Callithrix jacchus: one gene and its partners. The main gene of each other region encodes a partner of the protein of the gene in region 4 in a complex. Links are inferred from orthologs where the notes say so. Each region holds a gene or a part of one and is shown on either strand. Other genes may lie near its edges. The genes, in order: SNAI1, NOTCH4, WWTR1, SFN, SHROOM3, PIN1 and AMOT.

Evidence for each region.
Region 1: the proteins of SFN (region 4) and SNAI1 are in contact, whole or in part, in a crystal structure (PDB 4QLI), measured with the Homo sapiens proteins. The link is inferred for Callithrix jacchus from reciprocal best matches to the Homo sapiens genes SFN and SNAI1. Residues at the interface, in NP_006133.1 of Homo sapiens: Ser45, Lys49, Asn50, Arg56, Lys122, Asp126, Arg129, Tyr130, Leu174, Val178, Glu182, Ile219, Leu222, Asp225, Asn226, Leu229, Trp230; in NP_005976.2 of Homo sapiens: Ser175, His176, Thr177, Leu178, Pro179, Cys180.
Region 2: the proteins of SFN (region 4) and NOTCH4 are in contact, whole or in part, in a crystal structure (PDB 7OR3), measured with the Homo sapiens proteins. The link is inferred for Callithrix jacchus from reciprocal best matches to the Homo sapiens genes SFN and NOTCH4. Residues at the interface, in NP_006133.1 of Homo sapiens: Lys49, Arg56, Arg60, Lys122, Arg129, Tyr130, Glu133, Gly171, Leu174, Asn175, Val178, Glu182, Leu218, Gln221, Leu222, Asp225, Asn226, Leu229, Trp230; in NP_004548.3 of Homo sapiens: Arg1914, Arg1915, Phe1916, Ser1917, Ala1918, Gly1919, Arg1921.
Region 3: the proteins of SFN (region 4) and WWTR1 are in contact, whole or in part, in a crystal structure (PDB 8R0Z), measured with the Homo sapiens proteins. The link is inferred for Callithrix jacchus from reciprocal best matches to the Homo sapiens genes SFN and WWTR1. Residues at the interface, in NP_006133.1 of Homo sapiens: Cys38, Asn42, Ser45, Val46, Lys49, Arg56, Arg60, Phe119, Lys122, Arg129, Tyr130, Pro167, Ile168, Gly171, Leu174, Asn175, Val178, Tyr181, Glu182, Asp215, Leu218, Ile219, Leu222, Asp225, Asn226, Leu229, Trp230; in NP_001161750.1 of Homo sapiens: Arg86, Ser87, His88, Ser89, Ser90, Pro91, Ala92, Ser93, Leu94, Gln95.
Region 5: the proteins of SFN (region 4) and SHROOM3 are in contact, whole or in part, in a crystal structure (PDB 6FCP), measured with the Homo sapiens proteins. The link is inferred for Callithrix jacchus from reciprocal best matches to the Homo sapiens genes SFN and SHROOM3. Residues at the interface, in NP_006133.1 of Homo sapiens: Ser45, Val46, Lys49, Asn50, Arg56, Lys122, Arg129, Tyr130, Gly171, Leu174, Asn175, Val178, Tyr181, Glu182, Leu222, Asp225, Asn226, Leu229, Trp230; in NP_065910.3 of Homo sapiens: Arg1239, Ser1240, Arg1241, Ser1242, Ser1243, Ala1245, Thr1246.
Region 6: the proteins of SFN (region 4) and PIN1 are in contact, whole or in part, in a crystal structure (PDB 7AOG), measured with the Homo sapiens proteins. The link is inferred for Callithrix jacchus from reciprocal best matches to the Homo sapiens genes SFN and PIN1. Residues at the interface, in NP_006133.1 of Homo sapiens: Tyr19, Lys49, Asn50, Arg56, Arg60, Lys122, Asp126, Arg129, Tyr130, Pro167, Gly171, Leu174, Asn175, Val178, Glu182, Ile219, Leu222, Asn226, Leu229, Trp230; in NP_006212.1 of Homo sapiens: Arg68, Arg69, Pro70, Ser71, Ser72, Trp73, Arg74, Glu76.
Region 7: the proteins of SFN (region 4) and AMOT are in contact, whole or in part, in a crystal structure (PDB 7NPB), measured with the Homo sapiens proteins. The link is inferred for Callithrix jacchus from reciprocal best matches to the Homo sapiens genes SFN and AMOT. Residues at the interface, in NP_006133.1 of Homo sapiens: Val46, Lys49, Asn50, Arg56, Arg60, Lys122, Arg129, Tyr130, Gly171, Leu174, Asn175, Val178, Tyr181, Glu182, Asp215, Leu222, Asp225, Asn226, Leu229, Trp230; in NP_001106962.1 of Homo sapiens: Val171, Arg172, Ser173, Leu174, Ser175, Glu176, Arg177, Leu178, Met179.

Annotation. Positions count from the first base shown.
Region 1 is NC_133506.1:45,525,252-45,529,365, reverse strand, and holds the start of SNAI1 (zinc finger protein SNAI1), read right to left. Parts: upstream 2,801-4,114; 5' UTR 2,721-2,800; coding exon 2,639-2,720; intron 1,959-2,638; coding exon 1,431-1,958; intron 1,351-1,430; exon of another isoform or gene 780-1,350; intron 1-779. UniProt on the Homo sapiens protein: Involved in induction of the epithelial to mesenchymal transition (EMT), formation and maintenance of embryonic mesoderm, growth arrest, survival and cell migration.
Region 2 is NC_133505.1:39,684,691-39,688,190, forward strand, and holds part of NOTCH4 (neurogenic locus notch homolog protein 4), read right to left. Parts: intron 3,382-3,500; coding exon 2,998-3,381; intron 2,887-2,997; coding exon 2,717-2,886; intron 1,307-2,716; coding exon 1,087-1,306; intron 892-1,086; coding exon 810-891; intron 730-809; coding exon 591-729; intron 111-590; coding exon 1-110. UniProt on the Homo sapiens protein: Functions as a receptor for membrane-bound ligands Jagged1, Jagged2 and Delta1 to regulate cell-fate determination.
Region 3 is NC_133518.1:35,618,970-35,622,469, forward strand, and holds part of WWTR1 (WW domain-containing transcription regulator protein 1), read left to right. Parts: intron 1-1,015; exon of another isoform or gene 1,016-1,267; intron 1,268-1,434; exon of another isoform or gene 1,435-1,461; intron 1,462-1,544; exon of another isoform or gene 1,545-1,895; intron 1,896-2,107; exon of another isoform or gene 2,108-2,108; intron 2,109-2,257; coding exon 2,258-2,691; intron 2,692-3,500. UniProt on the Homo sapiens protein: Transcriptional coactivator which acts as a downstream regulatory target in the Hippo signaling pathway that plays a pivotal role in organ size control and tumor suppression by restricting proliferation and promoting apoptosis.
Region 4 is NC_133508.1:63,511,781-63,514,950, reverse strand, and holds SFN (14-3-3 protein sigma), read right to left. Parts: upstream 1,814-3,170; 5' UTR 1,751-1,813; coding exon 1,004-1,750; 3' UTR 501-1,003; downstream 1-500. UniProt on the Homo sapiens protein: Adapter protein implicated in the regulation of a large spectrum of both general and specialized signaling pathways. Binds to a large number of partners, usually by recognition of a phosphoserine or phosphothreonine motif.
Region 5 is NC_133504.1:121,266,144-121,268,754, forward strand, and holds the end of SHROOM3 (protein Shroom3), read right to left. Parts: intron 1,490-2,611; coding exon 1,121-1,489; 3' UTR 501-1,120; downstream 1-500. UniProt on the Homo sapiens protein: Controls cell shape changes in the neuroepithelium during neural tube closure. Induces apical constriction in epithelial cells by promoting the apical accumulation of F-actin and myosin II, and probably by bundling stress fibers.
Region 6 is NC_133523.1:9,032,967-9,036,466, reverse strand, and holds part of PIN1 (peptidyl-prolyl cis-trans isomerase NIMA-interacting 1), read right to left. Parts: intron 2,412-3,500; coding exon 2,199-2,411; intron 1-2,198. UniProt on the Homo sapiens protein: Peptidyl-prolyl cis/trans isomerase (PPIase) that binds to and isomerizes specific phosphorylated Ser/Thr-Pro (pSer/Thr-Pro) motifs.
Region 7 is NC_133524.1:109,163,941-109,168,049, reverse strand, and holds the start of AMOT (angiomotin), read left to right. Parts: upstream 1-1,309; 5' UTR 1,310-1,690; intron 1,691-2,789; exon of another isoform or gene 2,790-2,918; intron 2,919-4,109.

The DNA of each region.
Region 1 (4,114 bases), on a different chromosome or scaffold from region 4:
CTGCCATGCACTGGGCCAGCAGCTGCGACTGGAACAGGTGCTGGGCACCGCTGCCCCATGCACCTGCTCTGCTCCTCCCAGCCCCCACCCACTGGGCCCACCATTAAGGCACACAATGGGAGTCAATGAGGACAGCAGTGATACATTTCTGTGTCCCAGCCGTGCCTTTACATTAAAATAATGCCGGATTGGGGGCAAGGGAGGGGGGACAGCAGAGCAGCACCCTGAGGGGTTCAACGCTCCCAAAATAGAGCCCTGTGAGCTAGGCAGGCACCCAGAAGGCCAGGCAGTTGGACCTTTACATGTTAAAATCAGGGCTAAGGGTGCACAAAGGAAGAGAAATGGGTAGCCTTAGTTGAGTAAGATGCCAATAAAGCCTGCAAAAGGCCAGGCCTTCCAGACACCGCACTGACCCTCACCACTCCGAGGTCAGGTGCTGGGTCAGGAAATGGCAGAACCTGCCCGGGGTGAACCCCTGGAATCTCCTCTCTCAACCGTCACTCTCCAGAGCAGCTCTGGGCATGGTGGTCACCACCATTCAAGTTCTAAAAAGTTCTACCTTTTCTCCACGTCCAGAAAGTTTCCTACGCATTTAGTAAATTTTCAAGACACCAAGACATGATTGCGCTGTCTGCCCCAAAGATGCCTTTCCTGGTCTGCCAGATAGGACTGAGTGGGGGTGGGGAAGCAGACCAGAGAACCACCAGGTATGATAAATTACTGCAAAGTGATTAGCATAAAGTGATTATCAACCTTCACAGTCACTCTCTAAAACTTACCTATCATAATCCTCCCCTGAGGCTCAGAGAGGTTAAGTTGCTTGCCCAAAGTCACACAGCAGGGAAGCCGAGCAAACGGCAAGGAAGCATTTTTGTGAGCATTTAGCAGGTACCAGGCACTTTGCCAGGTGCTTCCCATACGCATTCCTGCATTTAGCCTGCATAGAAACCCCATAGGCTGTTCTCATGCCCATCTGAAAGATAGGGAAAATGAGGCTCACAGAAGTGAAACATCAGACCAAGCTTTGAGAAAGTTCTCAAAGCAGGATTCAGAGCCAGGTGGGGGGGGGGTCTGACAACATCCTGTCTGGCTAGGGAGGGGTGGATCAGGAGAGGGTGGGGCCAGGCGGACCCCTTCGCACCTGGCCACCACCACAAGGTGCTGGTGGCACCTTTCCCATATCCAGCTCCTACCCATTTGGCTGAGAAGCTGGCTGCAGGGGATTGGAAAGGTGTCTGCTTTGCCCATCTGCTTAGCTGATGAAGGAACATTTCTGCCAAACGTTTCCAGAGAGCCGGGCCCCTGAACTTGAGTTAGAAGTTAGGAGACTCGGGGCCTCCGTGTCTACAACTTTGAGAATGAGAAAAGTAAGCCCAGATTCACAAAAGCTGGCAGAGAAAGCAGTGGGGCGGGCCAGGAGGGGCACTTACCAGTGTGGGTCCGGACGTGGCCTTGCAGCAGCCAGGGCCTAGAGAAGGCCTTCCCACAGGTGCCACAGACGCAGGGCAGCGTGTGGCTTCGGATGTGCATCTTCAGGGCACCCAGGCTGAGGTATTCCTTGTTGCAGTATTTGCAGTTGAAGGCCTTTCGAGACTGGAGATCCTTGGCCTCAGAGAGCTGGGCCAGCTGCTTGGGCACTTGGACCAAGCCTGGGAAGACAGCATAGGCCTCGGCCTCCAAGGAAGAGGCCGAAGTGGAAGAGAAGGACGAAGAAGCCGGTGAGGGTGGGCTGGGGGGCTGGGAGCCTTTCCCGCTGTCCTCATCTGACAGGGAGGTCAGCTCTGCCGCCCTGGGGCTCTCCTGGGCCCGAAGGGAGGCCCAGGCAGTTGGCTGGGCTTGGGGGGCCAGGACAGAGTCCCAGATGAGCGTTGGCAGCGAGGCCGTGGGGTTGAGGATCTCCGGAGGTGGGATGGCTGCCAGCAGGTGGGCCTGGTCATAGGGCTGCTGGAAAGTAAACTCTGAGGGAGAAAGAGCAGAGTCAGGCGTTAATTAAATCATTCACTCAATCAACAAACTAGAGCCCACCGCTGGCCAGGGGCTGGGTGAGGCTGACTCTCAACACATAATTAGATCAATAAAATTATCCATAGGGCAGACCAAATTCCTGCCCTCCTCGCCCAGGTCACCCAACCTGAGTCTCTCACAGGTAGGACCCCCAGTTGAAGAGGGTCATTTCCAGATCTCGGTCTCCTGAGTCCCAAGTCCCCAGCCTGAAGCCAGAAGCCCATTACCCCAGCCCCCGAGCCACCACTCCACCCCAGTCCCCCTCCTCACACACATCTGGTCTCTCCACCCCTCTCCTCAACACTCTGGACTCCGGACTCTCCCCAGCAGCGTCCGGCGGGCCCTCCTGGCACAGGCCTCCTTCCCCTCGGGAGCTCCTGCGCCTCTCGCAGGCTACAAAGGCCCCCCAAGCGCAAGACCCCTGCCCGCTACACGGCACCCCCCAAACCACTCAGATAGATCCCTGGGACTGGAGACCTACCTGCCCGGTCTCCCGAGCCCGAGCCCTCAATGCTCCACAAAACATCCTGCGAATCGATCCTGGCCCAAGCAGGCCGCCTCCTTCAGGTGCCCCCCACGCAGCCTTCGCCTGTCTCCCCCAAATCTCCTGGAGCCCGGGACCCCTCCAACGCACCTGGATTAGAGTCCTGCAGCTCGCTGTAGTTAGGCTTCCGATTGGGGTCGGAGGGCTTCCTGACAAGAAAAGAGCGCGGCATGGTGGCCAACGCACCGGGGTCGCCGAGTCGCTCAGAAGTAGCGCAGGAGAACCACCGCTTAGGCCGTGCCGCGGCGCAATGAGTGCACCCGCGCCGCCAACTCCCTTAAATACTCCAGGGGGCGGCAGGGGAGGGGTCTTATCTGCCTCGCCCCTTTGTCACCTCAGCACCAATCGGAGGCACGTCTCCGCCGAAGGCCACGCCTCGAGCAGGTGCGCCGGGGGCGGACCCGGCTCGCGCCGCGTGGCGCTGGGAGCCCGGGCGGAGGCTCCTGCAAGGCGGGGTTCGGGAGCGCAGCGCTGGTCGTTCCCAGTGCTGGGGCTGTCCGGGGCGGGACATCGGGCGCATTTAGGCCCCTGCGAGGCGGGACCCCTCGCACCCACCCGCTCAGCGCCCCACGGTCGGAGCGCTTCTGACGCCCCCTGGCGCTGCGCGCGGGCCGGGACACCTGACCTTCCGAAGCCCGCCCCCGCCTCGGGCTTGGGAGGGGGCGGAAATTTCCTCCGCCCGGCTGGCGCCTGGAGAGCGTGGCATTGAGGAGGGAAATGCATATTGCTGGGGAGGATGCGAGGAAACGGACACTACACGTGGCTCTTGGCAGCATGAAATGCCATGGCTTTTTTGCAAAGCAGCCTAGCGAAGTGCGCCCGTTCCTTCCCTTAGCCAGTGTTTACGGAGCGTCCAGCACGTGTGGGGCACTGTACCTGGGGCCGGGGCACAGCCCTGGACAGGACACTCAGAGCCTCTCTCGAAGTTTAGCTACCCGTCCAATGGGGGAGACAGCTGAAGTAAACAGACAATTACAATGCAAAGGGAAGTGTGCTTTGGTGGGGGAGAGACGGGACGCGGCGACCGTTAAGAGGCGGGTCACCTGACAGGGGGTCGGGGTGACTGCCCAGAGGAAGTGAAGAATTATCAAGGGGAAAGGCCCGAGGGAAGAACTGGCAACTGCTTCCGAGTAACTCCTGGAGAGCAGCTCCCAGGGATGGGGTGGGGTGGGCAGGCCCGGAGGGGTCAGATGTGAGGAATCTGGACTTTGCCTCAAGGGCACTGGGGAGCCACCGAAGGATTTTCAGCTGAGGAGGTACCTGGTTAGAGTTTCCTTGAAAAAGATCCCCGTAGGCCGGCAAAGAGTTGGGATGAGGCCGGTGTGTCTCCTGAGCCCTTTGAAGATCCCCATCCTGTCTACAGGCTCTCACGGCTCCTAAGGGACCCTGACTGAATGTATGTGTGGTGGGCCCAGGTGAGGAGCAGCTGCACCCCTACCCCAGCTTCCCTGGAGGCATGCCAGGCCCAGGGGTGGTGCTGAAATAAACCCCACAGGTCTCGCCATGCCTGTTTCCATCTGTGAAGGAAGACCATGAACACCTTTACGCACCCTCCCCCCAACCAAC
Region 2 (3,500 bases), on a different chromosome or scaffold from region 4:
TCCGTCCAGCAGAGGTTCCCAGGGCTCAGGACATCCCAACCATGCCCCTTGGAAGGTCCTGGACTCTACTTCGCCACAGCAAACTGCTGACATCAGGGTTGTCACCCCATCTGTGGGCAAGACATGAGTCACGGGTCAATCTAAAGTTCCCAACAAGGGGGAGGGGACATCATGGAAGCTCAGAGAGAATCAAAACCTAAGGTGCCAGGAAGCTAAGTTCTGGCACTTTATGAGGCTTTAATCAAGTGACTTTTCTACTTTTCTCTGACTTGAGTTTCTTCTGTAAAAGGAACCTGCAGCTTAATTATCTGACATTCCAGGGCACTGGTTTTCTTAAATGAGTCTGGATCAGATTCACCGGAAGAGCTTATTGAAGCAGATTGCCTAACATCTTGAATTCCTGAGTCAGTAGCTCTATAGTGGACCCCAGGTGATGCTGATTCAGCTGTCTGAGGACCACACTTTGAGAATCACTGTTCTAAAGCACTCAGTCTAAAATTAGTTCCTCTAGTTCTGATATTAAAGGACTCTGATTCTAATAGGGTCGAAGGCCTTTTTTTTTTTGTCTTGGTCTGGGTTGACTCACATACCAGGTCCACGGGTGTCCAGGTCAGGGGCTTCCATCTCGGATTCCTGGGGAGGAGTTAGCATGGCTGCCTGAGGGAGCTCCCCACAGCCACCACTCAGCGGCCAGAGCTGGCACTTGGAGGGTGGGCCTGTTTCTTCAGCCTTGGGGTAAGAGCAAGGATCAGTGAAGGTTGATTTGCCCTTCCATCACCTCCAGACCATTCTTGCCCCAGCCCTTTCACCTGGCCCACCTCCTCTCCCTCTTCAGGGCCTGAGCACATCACAACTCCATCCTCATCAACTTCTGCCTCTGGCTTCAGCGCCCTGGAAGGGAATGGGTGGGTAGAAGTTACATGGAATTATGACCATCAAGGTCTCCAAGATTTCCAGCAGGCTTCCCACCCCTGTGTCCTTCCCCTATTTTTGACTTCCGCGGTAGTATTTCTTAGCTCTTCTGATTGTAAATCTCGACATAGGAGAGACTCCCCTTCCTGAACCTAGGTTTCTCCTCATTCTCACTTGAGACCAATGCTGTCCTCGCCGAGTGGGGGCCGGCGTCGGTGGGGAGCTGACTGAGTCCGAGGCTGTCGAGTGAACCCGGGGGGCAGCCAGAGAGCTCCATGCTCTCGGCGTCGACGCCGGATGAGCTGGAGGACGAGAAGAGCCCCTAGGGCCAGGAGAAGCACCCCAGCAACTGGGGAGCACAGCACAGGCCAGGGAAGCTGGTTGGCAGGGTTCGCTGGTGGAAGAGACAGAGTCACAAAGAGAGGCCACTCCTGGTGAGACTGATTACTATTGGGAGACCTTTTAACAAGTTTGGTAGCCTGTCTTTGCCTCGATTTCCTTATCTGCAAAATGGGGATGATAATATAGGTTGAGGCTGGGCATAGTGGCTCATGCCTGTAATCCCAGCACTTTGGGGGGGCTGAGGTAGGTGGGTCGTATGAGGCCAGGAGTTCAAGACTAGCCTGGCCAAAGTGGCAAAACCCTATCTAGACTGAAAATACAAGAAAAATTAGCAGGGTGTGGTGGCATGCCCCTGTAATTCCAGCTACTTGGGAGTCTGAGGCATGAGAATCACTTAAACCCAGGAGGTGGAGGTTGCAGTGAGCCGAGATGGCGTCACTGTTCTCCAGCGTGGGTGATAGAGTGAAACTGTCTCAACAAACAAACACACAGAAAAACAGGTTGAATATCCATAATCCCAATCCCAAATTTGAAATGTTCCAAAGTCTGAAACTTTCAGAGCACCAACATGACGCTCAAAGGAAACGCTCATTGTCCATCTGGATATTGTATTAGGGATGCTGAACTGGTAACTGTAATGCAAATATTCCAAAATAAACAAGTCCCAAATCTGAAACACTTTTGCTCCTAAGCATTTCAGATAAGGGATACTCAACTAGTAGTATGTCCCTAATGGGGTTGTGGGGAGGATTAAATGAGGTAACGATGTAAAATGCTTGGAGTAAGGCACAGAATAAGTATGATAATAACAGCTATTATTCTTTCATGTAGTATGAGTTATCTGATACCAAGACGATTAGATATTCCCAGTCTGGTAGAGAAGATAAAGCAGCCCTTTGTTGGAGGGCTATAACAGAGATTAGGATAATGTACTTAGACTGTAAAATAAATGGGACAGCAGGTGATTCAGTTAGAGAAAGTGAGGTTAGGGAACGTAAGTCCCTACAAAGAACATTTTCTTTCTTTTATTTTTATTTTTTTAGAGATGGGGTCTCGCTATGTTGCCCAGGCTGGAGTGCAATGGCTATTCACAGGCGTGATCCCACTACTGATCAGCACGGGTATTTTGACCTGCTCTGTTTCCAACCTGGGCCGGTTCACCCCTCCTTAGGCAACCTGGTGGCCCCCCGCTCCTGGGAGGTCACCATATTGATGCCAAACTTAGTGTGGACACCCGATCAGCTTAGCGCACTACAGCCCAGAACTCCCGGACTCAAGAGATCCTCCAACCTCAGTCTCCCGAGTAGCTGGGACTACAGGAACGCACAACTGCACCTGGCTACAAAGAACATTTTCAGTCTCAGCTATCCTGTTTCATTCAGCCTCCATTGCCTGTTGCTAGCATGAGAGCTGGCCTGGGAACAAACGTCAGAGAAGGTGGCAAGGGGTCACCTACTGGTACCTGCATGAGAGTGGGCAGCCAGCAGGGGTCCAGGCAGCAGGGGCTCCAGGGCTCCCACTGCAGCCATCGCAGCAAGGAAGCGGAGTAGAAGCCCAGGGTCCCAGGGACAGCGGGATGCCGGGTGGTCAGGGCCACAGCGGGATAAATCCACTCCCATTACCACCACGAACCTATAGGACAGGCACCTCAGAGACCCCTGTGTTGGTCCCTGGCTCCCATCCCTCCCTCTGCCCTCTTAATCAAAACTGGTGTCTGGCCCTTCCCTCCACCCAGCTTCTTACCCAGCACTGAGAGAATCGGTCTCCTTGCCCAGGGGCTGCATTTGAGGGACTGCTCTCTCCTGATTGGAGGGGTCTCGAGTTCCTCCTAGCGCCTCTTCAGCTCGGGCCCCAGGATAGGGGTACACCATGTCCCTGCCATCACGATCCTTCCTTACCCAGAGCCCCACCCTCAGAGTCAGGGACAGCCTCCGGGCCAGGGCAAACAGTTGCTGGTCTAGGGCTGGGGGGCTCAGCACCACCAGCAGGGCCAGGGAAGGCCCCCACTCTGGGTCCCCATCTTCTGGCCTGCAGTCACCTCCATCCCAGCCACATGCTGCAGTGTTGCAGCCTTTCTCACAGTGTCCGTTGTGGAAGTGATCATGGCAGTACTGGTCATAGGCTGGACTGTGGAGTGAGGAGAGGGGGACTCAGGACCTCCCTAAAACCTGACTCTTTTCTTCACTCTAGAGAGAATTCCCCATATTTTGTGGCCTCTAGAGCTTTGGTTGCTAAGTCGGGGCAGC
Region 3 (3,500 bases), on a different chromosome or scaffold from region 4:
ATTGGAGCACACCTCCAATTCCCCAGATAACAGGGGAAGTGGCTCACTTTGGTGGGTGTAGTTCTGTTTTGGGTAGGGATACAGCCATTCAAGGGAGTGGCCCCAAAATTCCACCTTTTCCAAGGCAAAACTATTAGTGGCCTTGTCCTTTCCTTAAACTTTCTCCTTCAAGGCAACTCCAGATTTTAACTTTGACTTTATTTTACCCTGTAAAAATATTAAGGCACAATACGTCAACTTACAGAACATGCAGTTCTGTTTTATTTAACAAGCACTTACGTAACCAGCTAGGTGCTATGCGAAGTGCTTTACATTGTCTTATTTGATTTTCTTTATAAACTATTTGAATCAGATGGGGTGGCGTAAGGGCTTCCTGCAATTTGGCTTACCTCGCCATTCCCCCCACGCCCCTGTCGCCCCGCACCTTTTCCCCTCAGTGGAGAGAGAACCAGAGAAAAGGAATTGAGCTGCTCTGAAGGGCAAGGCCTCCTCCCACTTCCCAGAGCTGTTTCACCAGGCTTGACCTTCTTCCCTTAGCTAGAGGCAAGGGGTCTCCACCCCTCGCCCAGATCTAGTCGGTGGGAAGGTGGGTGGCTTTTTCCAGGTCATTGGCGCACCCTCACTACTCCCAGCCACCTGCTCGGGTTCTATCCCTGCTCCAGGCTCCCTGGAGGGCGGCAGGGACATTCCAATCCTCCCACAACCCTCACGGATGTTGCGGGGGAGGGGGGCGCAATTGCTCTTCTCTTCCAGCACCCAGCTTTGACCCGATTTCTTCTCAATCCCTAGAGGCCTGAGTCACCCCCGTAGAGGAAATTAAGGATTGATGAATGGTTTGAAAGTTGTTTGTTTACGACGCAGCCGTTGGCGAAGCCGCATCTCCAGTGACAGAGGCACTTTCTGGGCACCGTCTGTGCTCTAGCAGACAATTGAGAGCCAAGCAGCCAAGATGCCTCCTCGCCAGACCAAATATGGTCACAAGAGCTAAGCAGCCTCCCGTGGAAAGGCTGGCCTTGTTGGTGTCTCCCCGCGCCGGGGCGCACCCAGGCCGGCCCTCGGGCAGAATCGCGGGTCAGTGCAGCGCTCCGGGTGCTGCCGGCCTCGGCGCCCGGCTACAGGGGAGCGCGCAGCGTCCAGGACCGGCCCTTCCCAGGCCTGAGCCCCTCGTCCGCGTGCCCTCCGCCACCCCCGGCCTTGGTTTCGGTCCACAACCCCTTGATGAAACAGGCTTGGGCCACTTTCCCTTTGATCCCGCCCCAAGTCCGTGGTAAACTCAAAGGAATGCAGATGTAGGGCTCCGCGGGAGAGGTCCGCGCAGTCGGGAGGAGTGGGTGGGGGGCACCCGTCTCCTCTTACCCAGTAAAGTACCCATCACGCCCAGGGTTTTCTGGAGCCGGGGTGGGAGGAGGAGGAGGAGGAAGAGGAGGGGCGAGCGGGGGCTTGCCGGCTGGGGACTAGGAGGTCATACATAATTCAATAGCTCAACTTTCGGGCCCGCCTCTTTCCTGGGGGTGGGAGTTTGCTCCAAACTTTGTTTATGGGACAGTCCGGGAGCTGCTGCGGCCGCGCTGTCTGCTTCTCCTGCGCCTCCTTCTCTCCGAGCGCAAGCGCCTGAGGCCAGCTCCGGGGATGTGAGAGCCGAAGCCCCTAGGCTGCCAGGCACCGAGTCTGGTCGGAATTTGTCAGCCTCGCCTCGGCTCCAGCTGCGCAAACTCGGGACTCACCCGAGCGACCCAGGCCCGACGGCAAGTTCGGGCGGGACGGCTGCCGCCGCGCGCTCAGGCTCAGCTTCGCTGCCCGCCCAGGTAGTGCCCGCTGGAGCTCGCGCGCTCTCCCAGCACCGCTCCAGGACTCCAGGCTCCTCGGGCTTCCGGAGTCGAGACGTCGTGGAGTTGGTTCGGGCTGAACTTCTTTCGGGGGGCTGCCTGTCCTGGAAAGCTGCGACCTTTGCTTTGCCATTCTGCGGCTCCGCAAGCCGCGAGTGCAGTTACTCCCTCCATCCCCCGCCCTTCCTTCTCCTCCAGGCAACTTCTTTGCTTCAAGAAAGTTGCATAATTCTCGAGGCCAGGAGGGACCCCTCCCCCATCCTGCTGGTCTTACCGCTGAGTGTCTGGGATCTCCAGGCGGGCAATTATCTGTCTCCTCGTTTCCTTTTCCTTCTATTCTTCCTCCCACCATCTCGCTCTCTCACCCCCTAACCCGCTTACCCACTTCCTCCGACTTTAAAGAAAAGGCTAATCTGACCTTCTTTTTGCAGAAGATGAATCCGGCCTCGGCGCCCCCTCCGCTCCCGCCGCCTGGGCAGCAAGTGATCCACGTCACGCAGGACCTAGACACAGACCTCGAAGCCCTCTTCAACTCTGTCATGAACCCGAAGCCTAGCTCGTGGCGGAAGAAAATCCTGCCGGAGTCCTTCTTCAAGGAGCCTGACTCGGGCTCGCACTCGCGCCAGTCCAGCACCGACTCGTCGGGAGGCCACCCGGGGCCTCGGCTGGCCGGCGGTGCCCAGCATGTCCGCTCGCACTCGTCGCCCGCGTCCCTGCAGCTGGGCACCGGCGCGGGCGCTCCGGCTAGCCCCGCGCAGCAGCACGCGCACCTCCGCCAGCAGTCCTACGACGTGACCGACGAGCTGCCGCTGCCCCCGGGCTGGGAGATGACCTTCACCGCCACTGGCCAGAGGTACTTCCTCAAGTAAGTCAGCCTGGATCCGAAGGGGACACCAAGTCACGGTGCCCAACGCACGCGAGTCTTCGTGTGTGTGTATGGGTGTGTGTGTGTGTGTGTGAGAGAGAGAGAGAGAGAGAGAGAAAGAGAGAGAGGGAGAGAGAGAGGGAGAGAGGGAGAGAGGGAGAGATGGTGCGTGTCCTTCACAGATATGGAGAGCTGGAAGCAAGGAATGAGTCTCTGGGTGTTGGAATTGTAAGGGATAAGAAGCAGAAGAGAGTGTGGTGAAGTTCATCCACCATAAAACACACAGGTGACTTTGCCCTGAATCTGCAGGTTGAAGCCGACTCCTATGCACAGACCCTTAGCCTTTTCCCTGGCCACTCTAAGTCAGATAGTCCAGAGCCAGGCCCTTTGGGCTGTGACACCAAGATAAATGAGAGAAAAGCTGCGAGGCTTGGGGAACAGAGGGACTCTTGGTGGAGTAGGTGGTCTGCAGTCTCTATCTTCTTGGGAAAAGCAAGCCGGAAAAGTGAACTGTGGCTGGTAGGCCTTACTGCTCCCAGCTGCATGACATAATGACCACACAGCACAGTGATGTAGTTGTGGGCTGGACAAATCAATTGTGTGGAAATTGTGTCAGGAGTTTTATCACATTAAACTTGTTAACCTTAGATATCATCAAATCACAAGCCTGCTTCGTCACTCTTCTTCCTTTCACATTGTTCCAGCTTGTTGATGTCATGAATTTTACATTAGGTTCAAATTTTCAAATTACACCCCACAGGAAGATATATTCTCAAACACTGGAGGAGATTGTTCCAATTGTGGTACCC
Region 4 (3,170 bases):
ATCTCCGAACTCTGTGGGACACGACTCTCTCCTGAGATCTGGGGTTTTAGGGTTGCGCTATACCTCTGCCTCACTCAGATGGTATTCCCCTCCGCTGAGATCGGAGCCCGTGATGAGACTGTGACCTGCTTGCAAATCGGGTGCTCAGTGCCGCTCGCTACTGCGGCGCTGTCCTTAGATCTCACGCCGGAGACTTCACTGTTTCCTGCCCCGCCCCACCTGAGCTCGTCAACCTCGCGGCTCCCACTCACCTCCCCTCAGCCCGGCAGAGGAGCCTTGGCGCCTCCTGTGGGTTCACCGGCCCCTTCCGGGCCCGTCCAGTGTGGGGCCTCCCTGAAGGACAGAGCTGGACCCCGGCCTCACCTGGACTCAAAGTCTTGCGTGCGGGTCACTGAGCACCCAGGGAGGTCAGGGTCCTAACTCAGGTCCAAGTTCAGGGTCTCTAAATCAGATTCCAGTCCCACTCCCAGCCCATCGCCAAGAACTGGAAGAGACAGGAGGAGTGTTACAGGGGAACTTTATTGAGAGGAAACATGATCACACCCAGCCGACATGCTTTCCCTCAATCTCGATCTTGCACTGGCAAGCGCACGCACACACACACACACACACACACACACACACACACAATCTCTAGCCCCTACCACTGTGCAGTTCTCAGGCACAAGGCGGGACACTTACTCCTCAATTCCTAACATCAGGCAGCAGGGGCAGGAGGGAGGCAAGATCGGGGAGAAGTAGCCTGGTCGTGGGGTCGGCAGGAAGCGGGTGCAGAGAGCAGGGGTGGGGCATGACCAGTGATTAGGTGTGCTCAACAGCTGCGAGAAGAGTGGGATCCCCAGCCCCAGGTGGCCTCGGCTCTGCCAGTCCCTTTCCATGGAACCTTTTGGAGCAAGAACAGCGCCTGGGGGAGAAGGGTGGGGCCTCTCACCCCATACTAGTCCTCTTGGCAGGGTGGGGTACTGGAGGGGGCAGGGCAGGGCCGGCTGGTGGCGGGCAACACTCAGCTCTGGGGCTCCTGGGGCGCCTCGCCCCCCTCTTCCCCGGCGTTGTCAGCCGTCCACAGGGTCAGGTTGTCTCGCAGCAGCTGCATGATGAGGGTGCTGTCTTTGTAGGAGTCCTCGCTGAGGGTGTGCAGATCAGCCATGGCCTCGTCGAAGGTGGTCTTGGCCAGCGAGATGGCCTCCTCGGGGCTGTTGGCGATCTCGTAGTGGAAGACGGAAAAGTTCAGGGCCAGGCCCAGGCGGATGGGGTTGGTGGGCGGCATCTCCTTCTTGCTGATGTCCATGGCCTCCTGGTAGGCTGACCGGGCCGAGTCAATGATGCGCTTCTTGTCGTCACCGGTGGCCACCTCAGCCAGGTAGCGGTAGTAGTCGCCCTTCATCTTCAGGTAGAAGACCCGGCTCTCGGCGTCCCCAGACTCCTGGATGAGGTGTCTGTCCAGCAGGCCCAGCACAGTGTCGCACACGCCCCGGAGCTCAGTCTCCACCTTCTCTCGGTACTCATGCACCTCGGGGCCCTTCTCCTCCGAGCCCTCCTCATTGCTTTTCTGCTCAATGCTGGACAGGACCCTCCAGGCAGCCCTCTGGCCACCCACCACGTTCTTGTAGGCCACAGAGAGCAGGTTTCGCTCTTCGCAGGAGAGCTCCTCGCCCTTCTCCACGGCGCCCTTCATGAAGGCTGCCATGTCCTCATAGCGTTCGGCCTGCTCTGCCAGCTTGGCCTTCTGGATCAGACTGGCTCTCTCCATGGCTCTGGGAACAGACAGGAGGGCGGCGGGTAACTGCTGCCTGGGACCAATCCCGGACTCTGTGCCTCTCCTGCTTTCGGCCTGCCTTTTGGCTGGGTGGCCAGGCCCTGAGAAGGGTGGGGAGGAGCAGGGGGCAGGACCAGGGCCCAAGACCTGCCTCCCTCTCCTCTCCTCCCCACACCCTTTCCGGCTCTGCATGAAAGGTAAAAGGGTTGGGATGTGGGAGTGAGTCATCAGGACAGTCAGCAGGAGAAATCTGGGCGTTGGCCCCACCTGCACAGGTGCCTTTCTGGGCTCCACGCTGCCCCCTCTTGTTCAGGACTGGCATTACATGACTGCCCACATCAGGAAGCTGCCTGGCTTCTCATATCAGATCCTCTTTCACAGTGCCCTTCCAGGGGCTAAGGATGGCTTTAGCCCCTGGCTGCTTCAGCCTTGATAGAGCTCATAAAGGTTCAGGAGGATGGGGTTCCTAATCCGGAGAGGTAACTTCCCCCGCTTGGTTCAGGGGAGAATAATTCATGTATAGGTAGGGCTATACAGTTTCTCAAGCACTTTTATATTCATGATCAACTTTAATCCCCTCCATGTCTCTGTGACATACACAGGACCATAGAGATGGGTACACTAAGTTTCAGAGAGGGGTGAGATTTGCTCAAAGTCACATAGCCACCAATTCCCTGAAACTCTTTTCTGCACCCTACCTCCTTTAGATTTTCTCCCATGAGGCCTCTGACCTATGAGCTCCAGGCTGTGTTTGGAAATGAGATCCAGGCTGCTTCCTCAGTCTACCTGAAGACAGTTCCATCCCCCAGATGGGTCCCCTCTGAGCTCCCAGAATGCACAGGTGGCAGCTTTCGGAGTGCCACTTAATAAAGTGTTTAACAAGCAGCCTCTGACGCTCCAGCCCAGCCTTTGTAATTAGTCACCCAGTAGGTTTGTTGAACACATTTCCCATCACTACACAATTTTCCCTTTCAAGTTGGTGGCCTGTTGCCACTTGTTTGAGGACTTACCCTCTGGCCCTCCATGCCAGGTCACCTGCCCTCTCCAAGCCATATGCCATCAGGTACCAGCGGGGCTTCCAGAGGGTGGGGTCCAGCTCCCCAGCTGTCCCACTTTCCTGCCTGACTCAGACTGCCCTCTTGTCTGAGGCTGGGAAGCAGTCCAGTTTGATCCCCCAGGGGGGACGCTAGCAACCTGGGGAGGGAGAGGACTGAGGAAGGTAGGTGGCAGTGACACATATCATTCTGTTTTATGGGGCAGCAATCCCAGCTACGTGATGCCTCCCCCAGCCTGTCTCAGAAGTTTCCCTGTTCCTTCTCTTTTTTTTTGAGAAGGAGTCTCGCTCTGTCGCCCAGGCTGGAGTGCGGTGGCAAAATCTTGGCTCCCTGCAACCTCCACCCCTCCCAGTTCAAGC
Region 5 (2,611 bases), on a different chromosome or scaffold from region 4:
TTACAAAGTAACTTCTGAGATGTTATTATTGAAACACGATAAAGCAAAATCAGTCTTCAGAGGTTAAGGAGGGAGTTTTTAATCAAGTGTGGTTGACAGGCTTGATATTGTAGGAAAACTTTTTTTTTTTTTTTAAAGCATCATTAAACAACAGCCTCAATAAACAGGCTGTATTTAGCCCAAATCTTGTTCAGGAGAACAGCATGGGTTCTGTTTTGAATTGGCTTGGATTCTGGACTTCCTCTTCCTATTACATAGGTCTGAGAGTTGTCTTTGTTAATAAAATTTAGCTTTGTTTCCCCACCAGTGATAATGACATGAAGCACCAGGAAATGATGCAATAACCACGGTACACAAGGCCTTCCTCCTGGGGAAGGTGTGACACAGGAGAAGAGCCGGGGAGGACTCCCCCATACTGTCCAGTGAAGTGCAGAATACCTGCTCATGTTTGTAAAAATAAGACAAGTCAGGAATGCAAGAAAAAAAGTCTTCACGCTCAATGTGACTATCTTTGGAATTCATTTCATTAAGGTTTTCACAAAATACAAAGCTCAAACGTAATTATCTACGTCCACCACAAAACAGAATCAAGTAAGTGGTTAGCACAACAAACAATGATCGTTTCCATTTTAAAAAATATAAATAACAATGTTCAAGGTTTTACAATTTCTTCTTAGTGTGTGTCTTTTTAAGGCTTTATGTTGCAGACCCTTCATTAATGGTACTTGTACCCTGCCATCAGGATACACTGCCCACCAGCAAGGAAGGCCACTGTGGATACATTCCTGAGGGGGACACACACGGATCCATGTTGCCTCAGCCTGTTAAAGACTAAATGATCAAACACCCTCCAATCAGTTCTGTTTCATTAACTTACTTTCTACTACAAAGTAATAATAGAAAGGGGTATGTGTCCAGCAGCATTCAAGCTCTCAGAAGATCAATCAGGAAGGGCAAGAAGGAAAAAACAGGCTTCCTCCTGGAGAGAATTTTTTTCCTTTCATCCAGAACAAACACCAATAACCCAGATAGTTCAAACAGTGGTTTGTACTGAAACATTTTTCAGATTAAATAGTGTTGATAGAAACAGTCATCTTTTGGTTGGGTATTTTAGAAGAGGTTAAAGTGGAGAGGGTAATGTTGGGAAAATACCACCGAAAGTACAGCTCCCGGTAGGAGTGGGCTCACTCGTGAGGTCTGGGGGCAGAGCCAGGGCCCCGGCCTTGGGAATGAAATCCGAGGGCAGGCTCTCCAGCAGACACTTGACCTGCTCCTGGCCCAGCTTGATCTTGTCGTCCAGTTTCCGCTGCTCGATGAGGAGTGTGGACTTCATTTTCACGAAGTGCTGGTAGTCCTGGAGCTGCTCCTCAGAAAGGTAATTGGCCAGGATGCCCAGCACCACCCGCTCCCTGCGATCCAGGTTCTCCTTCAGCTCCCGGGCATCCTCGTGCTGCCCAGCAAGGATCTTCCTTTTCTCATAGAGAGAGCTCTGCCAGGGCAAATTGGACAGATCAACAAAGGTCAGGGGAAAGGAGAAAAGAGCCAGACTCCCTGCAAGGACACCTCTGACAGGACTGGGAAATATCTATGCTCGATTCCTATTGTCACTCTAAGGAGGCTAACTGTTTGAAAATCAGCTTATTATCTTTATATTGCATATTACAGCATTCTCTAATTTGTAATGTCATAGGGTAGCTTCAATTTGAGAAGTATTACTTTAAATTGGCTGGGAATAAAATTGCTTTTGGATTCTAGACTTAAAAAACCAATCATCAGCTGGGCATGGTGACTTTGGGAGGCCAAGAACAGGTGGATCACTTGAGGACAGGAGTTCAAAACCATCCTGACCAACATGAGGAAACCCCGTCTCTACTAAAAATACAAAAATTAGCTGAGTGTGGTCATGCATGCCTATTATACCAGCTCCTCAAGAGACTGGGGCATGAAAATCACTTGAACCCGGGAGGCAGAGGTTGCAGTTGAGTGGAGATTGTGCCACTGCACTCCAGCCTGGGTGACAGAGTGAGACTCTGTCTCAAAAATCATCATCAAGGTACCTTGAGGACTACACTAATACAGTGGTTCTCAAGGTGTGGTTGCTGGACCAGCAGTGGCATCACCCAAAATGCCCTCTTCCACCTCCTGAATCAAAAACTCTGGAGATGAGGCCCAGAAACCTGTTTTAACAAGCCTTCCAGATGATTCTTTTGTGGCTAAAGTTTGAGAACCTCTCCCTAATCCATAATAACAAGGGGATCATCATATTTCCCATCTCCAGAGAAGTCAGTTTCCACTTTTTCAGTTCTCTTTTGCAGGCCTCTGAATATAAAATGAGAGAAATTCTGTTCAACAATGATGGCAATGTTATGTTCTAAGAGTTTCTAAAACTTTTCTATGATATTGTAGCATATATTATCTTTAATGTGGTTTTCTATCCAACATGGTAACACATAACATTTTTAAATTAAAAAAAAAATTATACTTAACCATTCACACATTTTAGGCAAAGTAAGGAGACAAACCCACAGACAACATTATATTGAACAGGGAAAAGATGAAAGCATTCCCCCTGAGAACTGAAACAGACAAGGATTCCCACTTCCACCACTGC
Region 6 (3,500 bases), on a different chromosome or scaffold from region 4:
AAAAATTAGCTGGGCATGGTGGTGGGCGCCTGTAATCCCAGCTACTCAGGAGGCTAAGACAGGATAATTGCTTGAACCTGGGAGGTGGAGGTTGCAGTGAGCCAAGATCGTACCACAGCACTCTAGCTTGGGTGACAGAGCCAGACTCTGTCCAAAAAAAAAAAACAAAATAAATAAATTAGCGAGGTGTGGTGTTATGAGCCCACAGTCCCAGCTATTTGGAAGGCTGAAGTGGGAGGATCACCTGACCCCAGGAATGTCAAGGCTGCAGCGAGGTATGATCACTGCACTCCAGCCTGGGTGACAGAGCATGACCCTGTCTCAAAAGAAGGAGAAAAAGATTGAGGTCCAGAGATATTAAGTAACTTACTCAAGATCCCATAGCCAGGACCTGGCAGAGCTGCATAGGAACCCAGGCTGTCTGGACATGGTTGAGAGACGGGTTGTTTGAAGCAGGGACAGCCCAAGAGGGTTCTGGAAACTCTGAGAAAGGCTGTCAGACACAACTTGCTGCAAGAATGGAAATTTTTTTGGTTTTTTTGTTTGTTTGTTTTTGGGGGACGGAGTTTCGCTCTTGTTACCCAGGCTGGAGTGCAATGGCTCGATCTCGGCTCACCTCAACCTCTGCCTCCTGGGTTCAGGCAATTCTCCCGCCTCAGCCTCCTGAATAGCGGGGATTACAGGCACACGCCACCATGCCCAGCTAATAAGAATGGAAATGTTTTATATTCCCGCTGTCCAAGATGCCGGCCAGCAGCTAAAGTATGACCAGTGTAACTGAGAAACAGTTTTTGATATTCTTATTTAAGAGAGGGTGTTGCTCTGTCACCCTGGCTGGAGCGGGATAGCACGATCTCAGCTCGCTACAATCTCTGCCTCCTGGGCTCAAGAAATCCTCTCACCTGTCTCCTGAGTAGCTGGTACTACAGGTGTGTACCAACACGTCCAGATAATTTTTGTATTTTTCAGGCTCAAGTGATCCTCCTGTATTGGCCTCCCAAAGTGCTGGGATCACAGGTGTGAACCACTGCATCTGAGCAGTAATACTACTTTATTTTAATTAATTTACACAGAAATAGCACATGTGGGGAGTGGCAGCCAAACTGGACAGCTTTAGACAGGGTTCTGCAAATGACAGACTGCAGGCCAAATCCTGCCTGATTTGGTAAATAATAAAGTTTTCTTGGCACACAGCCATGACCATGTGCTTGGTTATATATTGGTTATGGCTGCTATCCAGTTACAAAGCAGAACTGACAGAGACTGCATGGCCCACAAAACCTAAAATATTTATCATCTGGCCTTCAAAGTTTACCACCCCAGTGCCAGACTGCAGAAGAAAGACAGAACAGAGAAGGGAATAGCTTCCTTCCTTAGGTCAGAATTAACTCACTAGTTCTGCTGGCATTCACTACCCTTCTTTTTTCTTTCTTTCTTTTTTGAGATGGAGTCTCACTGTTGCCCAGGCTGGAGTGGAGTGGTGCAATCTCAGCTCACTGCAACCTCCACCTCCCAGCTTCAAGTGAAGCTGCCTTAGCCTCCCTAGCAGCTGGGATTATAGGCATGCACAATGACGTCCAGCTCATTTTTATATTTTCAGTAGAGACGGGGTTTTGCCATGTTGGCCAGGCCTGACCTCAGGTGATCTGCCCTCCAAGACCTCCCAAAGTGCTGGGATTACAGGCGTGAGCCACACGCCCTGTATGCAGTCACTACCTTTCTGACAGCTCTCTCTGGATCTATCTACGTATATGACTCAGTCCCCTATTGGATATTACTACTGACAACAGTTCCCACAGCCTGAGGGTCCACTGTGCAAAATGCATTGCCTTATTCCCTGGAACTTTCACAGTGGTCCTCAGAAGATGCCCATTTTACAGAGAAAGTTAAGTCTAGGGGAGGTGACATGAGTCCCCCCTCAAAGGTCATAGAATTCACAGAGGCACACTACTACCTGAACCGGGGTCTGCCAGCCCCCAGGCTGGGTCCTCTGCCCTTACCTGGCTCACCCTCAAATGCCAGATGGAAGGGAAAGAGAACGGCTGCTGTGAAGGTCAGGGTCACGTACTGGCATTTTTGTGTTGGCCAACACCACTCCTGGTAGCTGAGCAAGCTGGGGTGAAGGGTCTGGTGTGACTTCTACAAAGGCCCACCTGGAACAAGACCTCCTCCCAAGCCCCTGCCCTTGCCCTGCTCACCGTTGATAAGCTCCAGGGCCTCCTCCTTAGTCCGGGTGATCTTCTCCTGCCGCCAGGACGAGGGCCGCCTTGACTGGCTGTGCTTCACCAGCAGGTGTGAGCAGCGGACCCTGGCGGGCTCCCCCTGCCCGTTTTTGCCACCACTGCTGCTGTTGCCACTGGGCCGCTCCCACTGGCTGGCGTTAGTGATGTGGTTGAAGTAGTACACTCGGCCTGGAGGGGAGGGCAGGCAGGAATTCAGCTGGGGCTGTGCTCACAGGACACTACCTAGGCCCACAGCCAGAAGCCAGGGTAAGGGCCTGGCCTGGGGTAGTGCCTTCATTTAGTAAATCCATGGCGTGTCCACCACGTGCCACAGGCTCTTCAGCTATGGGCCAGTGTGGCAGGACATAGTCACTGCCCTTAGAGTTAACATTCTAGGTAAGAGCAGACAGGCACTAAACAAGTAAACGAAACACAGGATAATTTCAATCACTGACAACCTCAAGGAGGAAAATAACCCAGGGTGATGGAAGAGAGGAAGCTAGGGGAGAGGGAGTGACTCCAAGCATGGACTCAGCAGCCAGACCGCCTGAGTTCAAATCTGAACCTGGGTTCAAATGTGATCTACCTTCCCTGAGCCTCAGTTTTCTCACCTGTCAAATGGAGACAACAGTTCCTACCTTAGGATCATTGAAATAACTAAATAATAATGTTTTAACATTTTAAAAAGGTCTAAGTACGATGGCTCTTGCCTGTAATCCCAGCACTTCGGGAGGCCAAAGTGGGGTGAATAACCTGAGATCAGGAGATTGAGACCTCCCTGGCCAACATGGCGTAACCCCATCTCTACTAAAAATACAAACATTGGCCGGGCACAGTGACTTTTACCTGTACCAGCACTTTGGGAGGCTGAGGCGGGTTAATCATCTGAGGTCAGGAGTTTGAGACCAGCCTAGCCAAGAAAGTGAAACCCTGTCTCCACTAAAAATACAAAAAAATCAGCCAGGCATGGTGGCAGGCGCCTGTAATCCCAGCTACTGGGAGGCTGAAGCAGGAGAATTGCTTCAACTCAGGAGGCAGAAGTTGCAGTGAGCTGATATTGTGTCACTGCGCTCCAGCCTGGGCAAAAAGAGGGAAACTCCGCATCTCAAACAAACAAACAAACGTTAGCCGGGTATGGTGATGTATGCCTGTAATCCCAGCTATTTGAGAAGCTGAGGCAGGAGAATCGCCTGAATCTAAAAGGCAGAGGCTACAGTGGGCCAAGATCATGCCACTGCACTCTAGCCTGGGTGATAGAGTGAGACTTTGTCTCAAAAA
Region 7 (4,109 bases), on a different chromosome or scaffold from region 4:
GTCATACAATTAGCTAGTAAGTGCCAGAGCCCCAAATGAATTCTTCTTTTGGTTCTCAATTCTATGTTATTTTGCTACCCCTACACTGTTTCTTTGTGCCTTCGTTTTCCCAGATGTAAAATGGTAGATTTTCCGTGTCCCAGTATACTGTTCTCAACCCTCTGTTTTTAACCAATATCAGTTTTTTTCTTCCACAGCCAGGAAATGTGAACGCCACACTGGCACTTCATGTACTTTTCCCCCTCCGGATTTAATGAATTAAGGGGAAAGAAAAGTTACCTATTCGTGGAGGGCTGGACAGTGCTATAAACATAAAGGCGTACCAGAGTCGGCCGACACACTGCTGCACTCTTTTATGAGACTGAGAAAGCGTCTCATCTTTCTCTTCCCAGCGGTAGCTGGGGTAGAACATAGAGCTACACAATAGCCTCTTGTTTAGTTTTATTAATTTTGAGGACTGGTGGGACAAAAGGATCAGACTGGCGACTCCCGGGCCCAATCGCAAACGTATACTAGGCCAGGCCCGGCCAACCAGTAGCGGCAAAAGAATGGTGGGCGGGACTTACGCTTCAGGGGCCCGCTCCGCCCAGGCCGCATCTAACAGCCCGCCCAGGGGCGGAGCCTCTGCAGAGCCCCGCCCACGACCCCCTCCTCCCTCGCCCCGCAGCTTCTGCAGCCCGCCATCGGGAGGCGGGGGAAACTCCCGGGGTGGGGGAGCGGAGGAAGAAAGGAGGGTGTCTCGCAGAGCTGTGACCTGGGTGGGGGCCTGCTAGTAATAGGAAGCGAGAGGGGAAGGAAAACGAAGGAGCACTGCTCCTTCCTTCATTATTTTAAGCAGGCTTTGGTGGAAGCTGCTTTTCAGCATTTCTATTATTTGCTTTTCTTCCTCCCGCTGTGGGGCGGAGAGCTGCACTGGCTCTCCCACGCGAGTATGCCGCGCTGTTGCCGTAGGTTATTATTGTAGTCTTTTGCAAAACCCTTTCCTTCTCCCCAGCCAGTCCCCGCGCAGACTCTCACGGCTACGGCAACCGAGTCGTGCCCCTCTAGTGGAAAGGCGAGAGCGAGGGTCCCCAACTTTCGCCCGAGCTCTCGGACCCCGCGGTTTAATTGTTTGAAACTTCCCCGCCCCCCGGCCCCGCCTCTCTTCCGCGCTCTCCTCGCTCCTCACTTCCAGGGTCCAGGCAAGCTCCCGCCCTTCTTTCCCCGCCCTCTACTCCGCCTTCCTCCCCAGTCCACCCGCCCTGCCGCTCCGGGGCGGTCCTAGCCGCTCACCGCAAGAAGAAAAGCCACCCGTTCGTCCCCCTCCCCTACCTCCCATCCTTTGCCCAGGAGCTGCCTTGGCAGTCACGCCCCTTCCTTCCGAGGAGCTTTCTGGCTGCCTAAACTGGTAGACCCCCTGAATTACTCCTCCGTCTCCGCTCTCTTTCGCCTCCTCTTCTCTTAGTTCTCTCCGCCTCCCCCTCCAACTACCACCACCTCCAGTCAATCTCGCCTCCGACCATCCGCTGCTCCACCCTCTGGCCCGGTATCCTGCCTGTCCACTGCCACCAAGGAGAGCCCGGACGGAGCAGCGAAGAGGGGAGCAGCCAGGAGTTGGGGCTTCCCCCCTGCCCATCCCTGGCCGCTGGCCCGGGACCGAAGCCACTTGAGCGAGCAGAGAGTCGTCACCTTGTCTTCGTTGCCTTCAGGGGTAGGAGACGTGTGGTTACTTTTTGCGGGGAACTGGGGCAGGAATCCATGGTGGCATGAACTTGGTCGTGCCCTCGGCGTGAGTGAATCGATCTAGGCGCGTGTGAGAATGCCCGTGTATTCTGCTGTCTTTGCAGCTGGCCATGAGTTTTTCAGGATGTGCAGCAAGTTAAATCGGTTAGAGTGTGCGCTGCTTTCCCGTCCTGCTTAAGTGAGGAGATGCTAGTGGGTACCACTACTAGATGGTATTTTTACTTCCTTGCCTCCTGGGGTTCTTCTGGGTCTCTAGGAAATTAATCACATTGAGGAGCTAAAGACCCGAGGGAAGCTGAAATCTACTTTTAGCCTAGCATGCAAGTCAGTGCTTATCTCAGATAACTAGATAGGTTTCTCCTAAGTGCTTAGGCTTGGGGTGTGGACTCACACTCCCTGAGGCGGGAGAAGGAGGGGTAGGACCGTGAATTCTTGAAGTTTTAAAGTCTGCGTAATCTAAAACATAAGGCTACTTTTTGAAATGTGTGGTGGTGGTGGTGCTTGTGGTGGTGGTGATAGTGGTCATGAGGAGGGAATTGCCCCTATCTACTTTAGAAGATCCAAAGATGTTAGTAAATAGTTTTGGGGGATCAGGCAGGTGTCTTGAGGGTCCAAGCCTGGGCCACTGTACGTTGGTGCTTCAACAGTAAGATGGACTTCGTGGATATGTGAAAATCAAGAGAAAGAAAAGTGGGAGTAAAAATACGCCTTTATAATAGACTATGAGCAGTTCCTGGTAAATTTCCACTAATAATAATATAATAATGTTCATAAAGTGACTAAATAAGATTAAATGAGCAAGGAAAGAGGAAGTTGGTGAGAAACAGCATTTTCAATCTCTAGCGTATGTTTTAGAAAGAATTTTTCAACAACCTAGGATGTTTAGTTCAGTTCTCCTCCCTCCGTGGAAGTTGGGAGGCAGTTTAAAACTTTTATGAATATAACCCTCTTCTCCCATTCAGAGAGGAAGATAATTAGTCACCATAATCTTCAATGATGAAGGGCTAAGGGTATTTAAGTCTCCTTGAGCTAGGCTTTGTGAAAAGTTCTTTCTCAGGCCAGCCTTTGTGAAGCCTTCTCAGACCTTTCAGCACCCTCATTTAGTAGCTAAGAATAGTTTGAAATGCCATTTTGGATGTGGGATACATTTTCATCCATCTCCCACCTATCTTCAATTGGACAAGTGCATCAAACTTGTAAGTCGTGGTGTTCAAAGACTTATTTCTGTGATGTCCTGAACTCATTGCTTATTTGGGAACACATTATTTACATACATTTAAAAATAGCTTTGGTTGATTTTAATGAGGGAAAGGAAGGTAGGAAGGTAGAGAAGGAACGTTACATGGCGACAGTTTTAAAGGCTATCCTGTTTCAGATCAGCTGGGAGGGAAAAGCTGGCCTAGCCAAACTACATTTTATAACTGGCCTGGGACACTTTAACAGCCAGGTGGTTGTAGAATAGTTGCATCTATTTACAGATGATAACTCAGGTTCCAGCTATTCTGTATGGGTTTATCCGGTGTCATCGACAGACACTTTCTGGCACGACATCATACTTCATTTTAAATTACTTCTTTCTTTGGAAAAGTTTGTGGCTTTGTAAAATTGAAAGTGTTTTTTTCTACCTTCATGGTGTAGATGTGAAGTAAACCTCGTTGTATGTGGAGTCACTTTTACATGAAATTTGTGGATCTGTTTAGCTATTTAAAAGATTTTAGAAAGGGAATTTTAATAATTAATAGTCAATTCAATTTTGGATTTAGAAATTAAAATCTCATTTCCAGTTTATGAAGTTGGATTTATTAGACTAATTCCCAACTAGGACATTTGTAGAGTTGCTTTCTCTGAGGTTTTGTAAAGACCACATCAGACTCTAGAATGCTTTAAGAATAGCCTAATCAGAAGGCAGGGGGATGGATACTATGACCTTGAGGTCCCATTGAGTGCCAGAATTCTAAGTGGGTACATCTGCTTCTGTGCCTCTCCTAAGAGCCCTCTCCCAGGGCCTGCGCCTTCTTTAAAAGGGTGTCTTTGTAATTAAGCAGCCCTTCTTCCCCATCCCCCTTTCTTCCTTTGATCCAGCTTTTTAAGGCCTTTTTTCCATTTGGAGACAAGAGGAGTTTCTCACACTTTCCTGTTCCCCTCTTAACGTTTCTTGTCCTTTACCTCAGAAAAGTCCCCTGAGGTTCTCAAGATGGTTAGAAGTTTTGTTTTGTTTGGGGCGTGGGGGTGGAGTGGGGGAGTTGTTACCAGTGAGGAGGAATAGAGGATATATTCCCGCTTGGGAAATGCTTGCGACCAGGTAGCCTCCTCCATGGAGACTGAGCATTTGGAATGCATGAGAACAGTCTATTCTTGGGGACTGTCTGGTAGAAATTGTCCTTTGC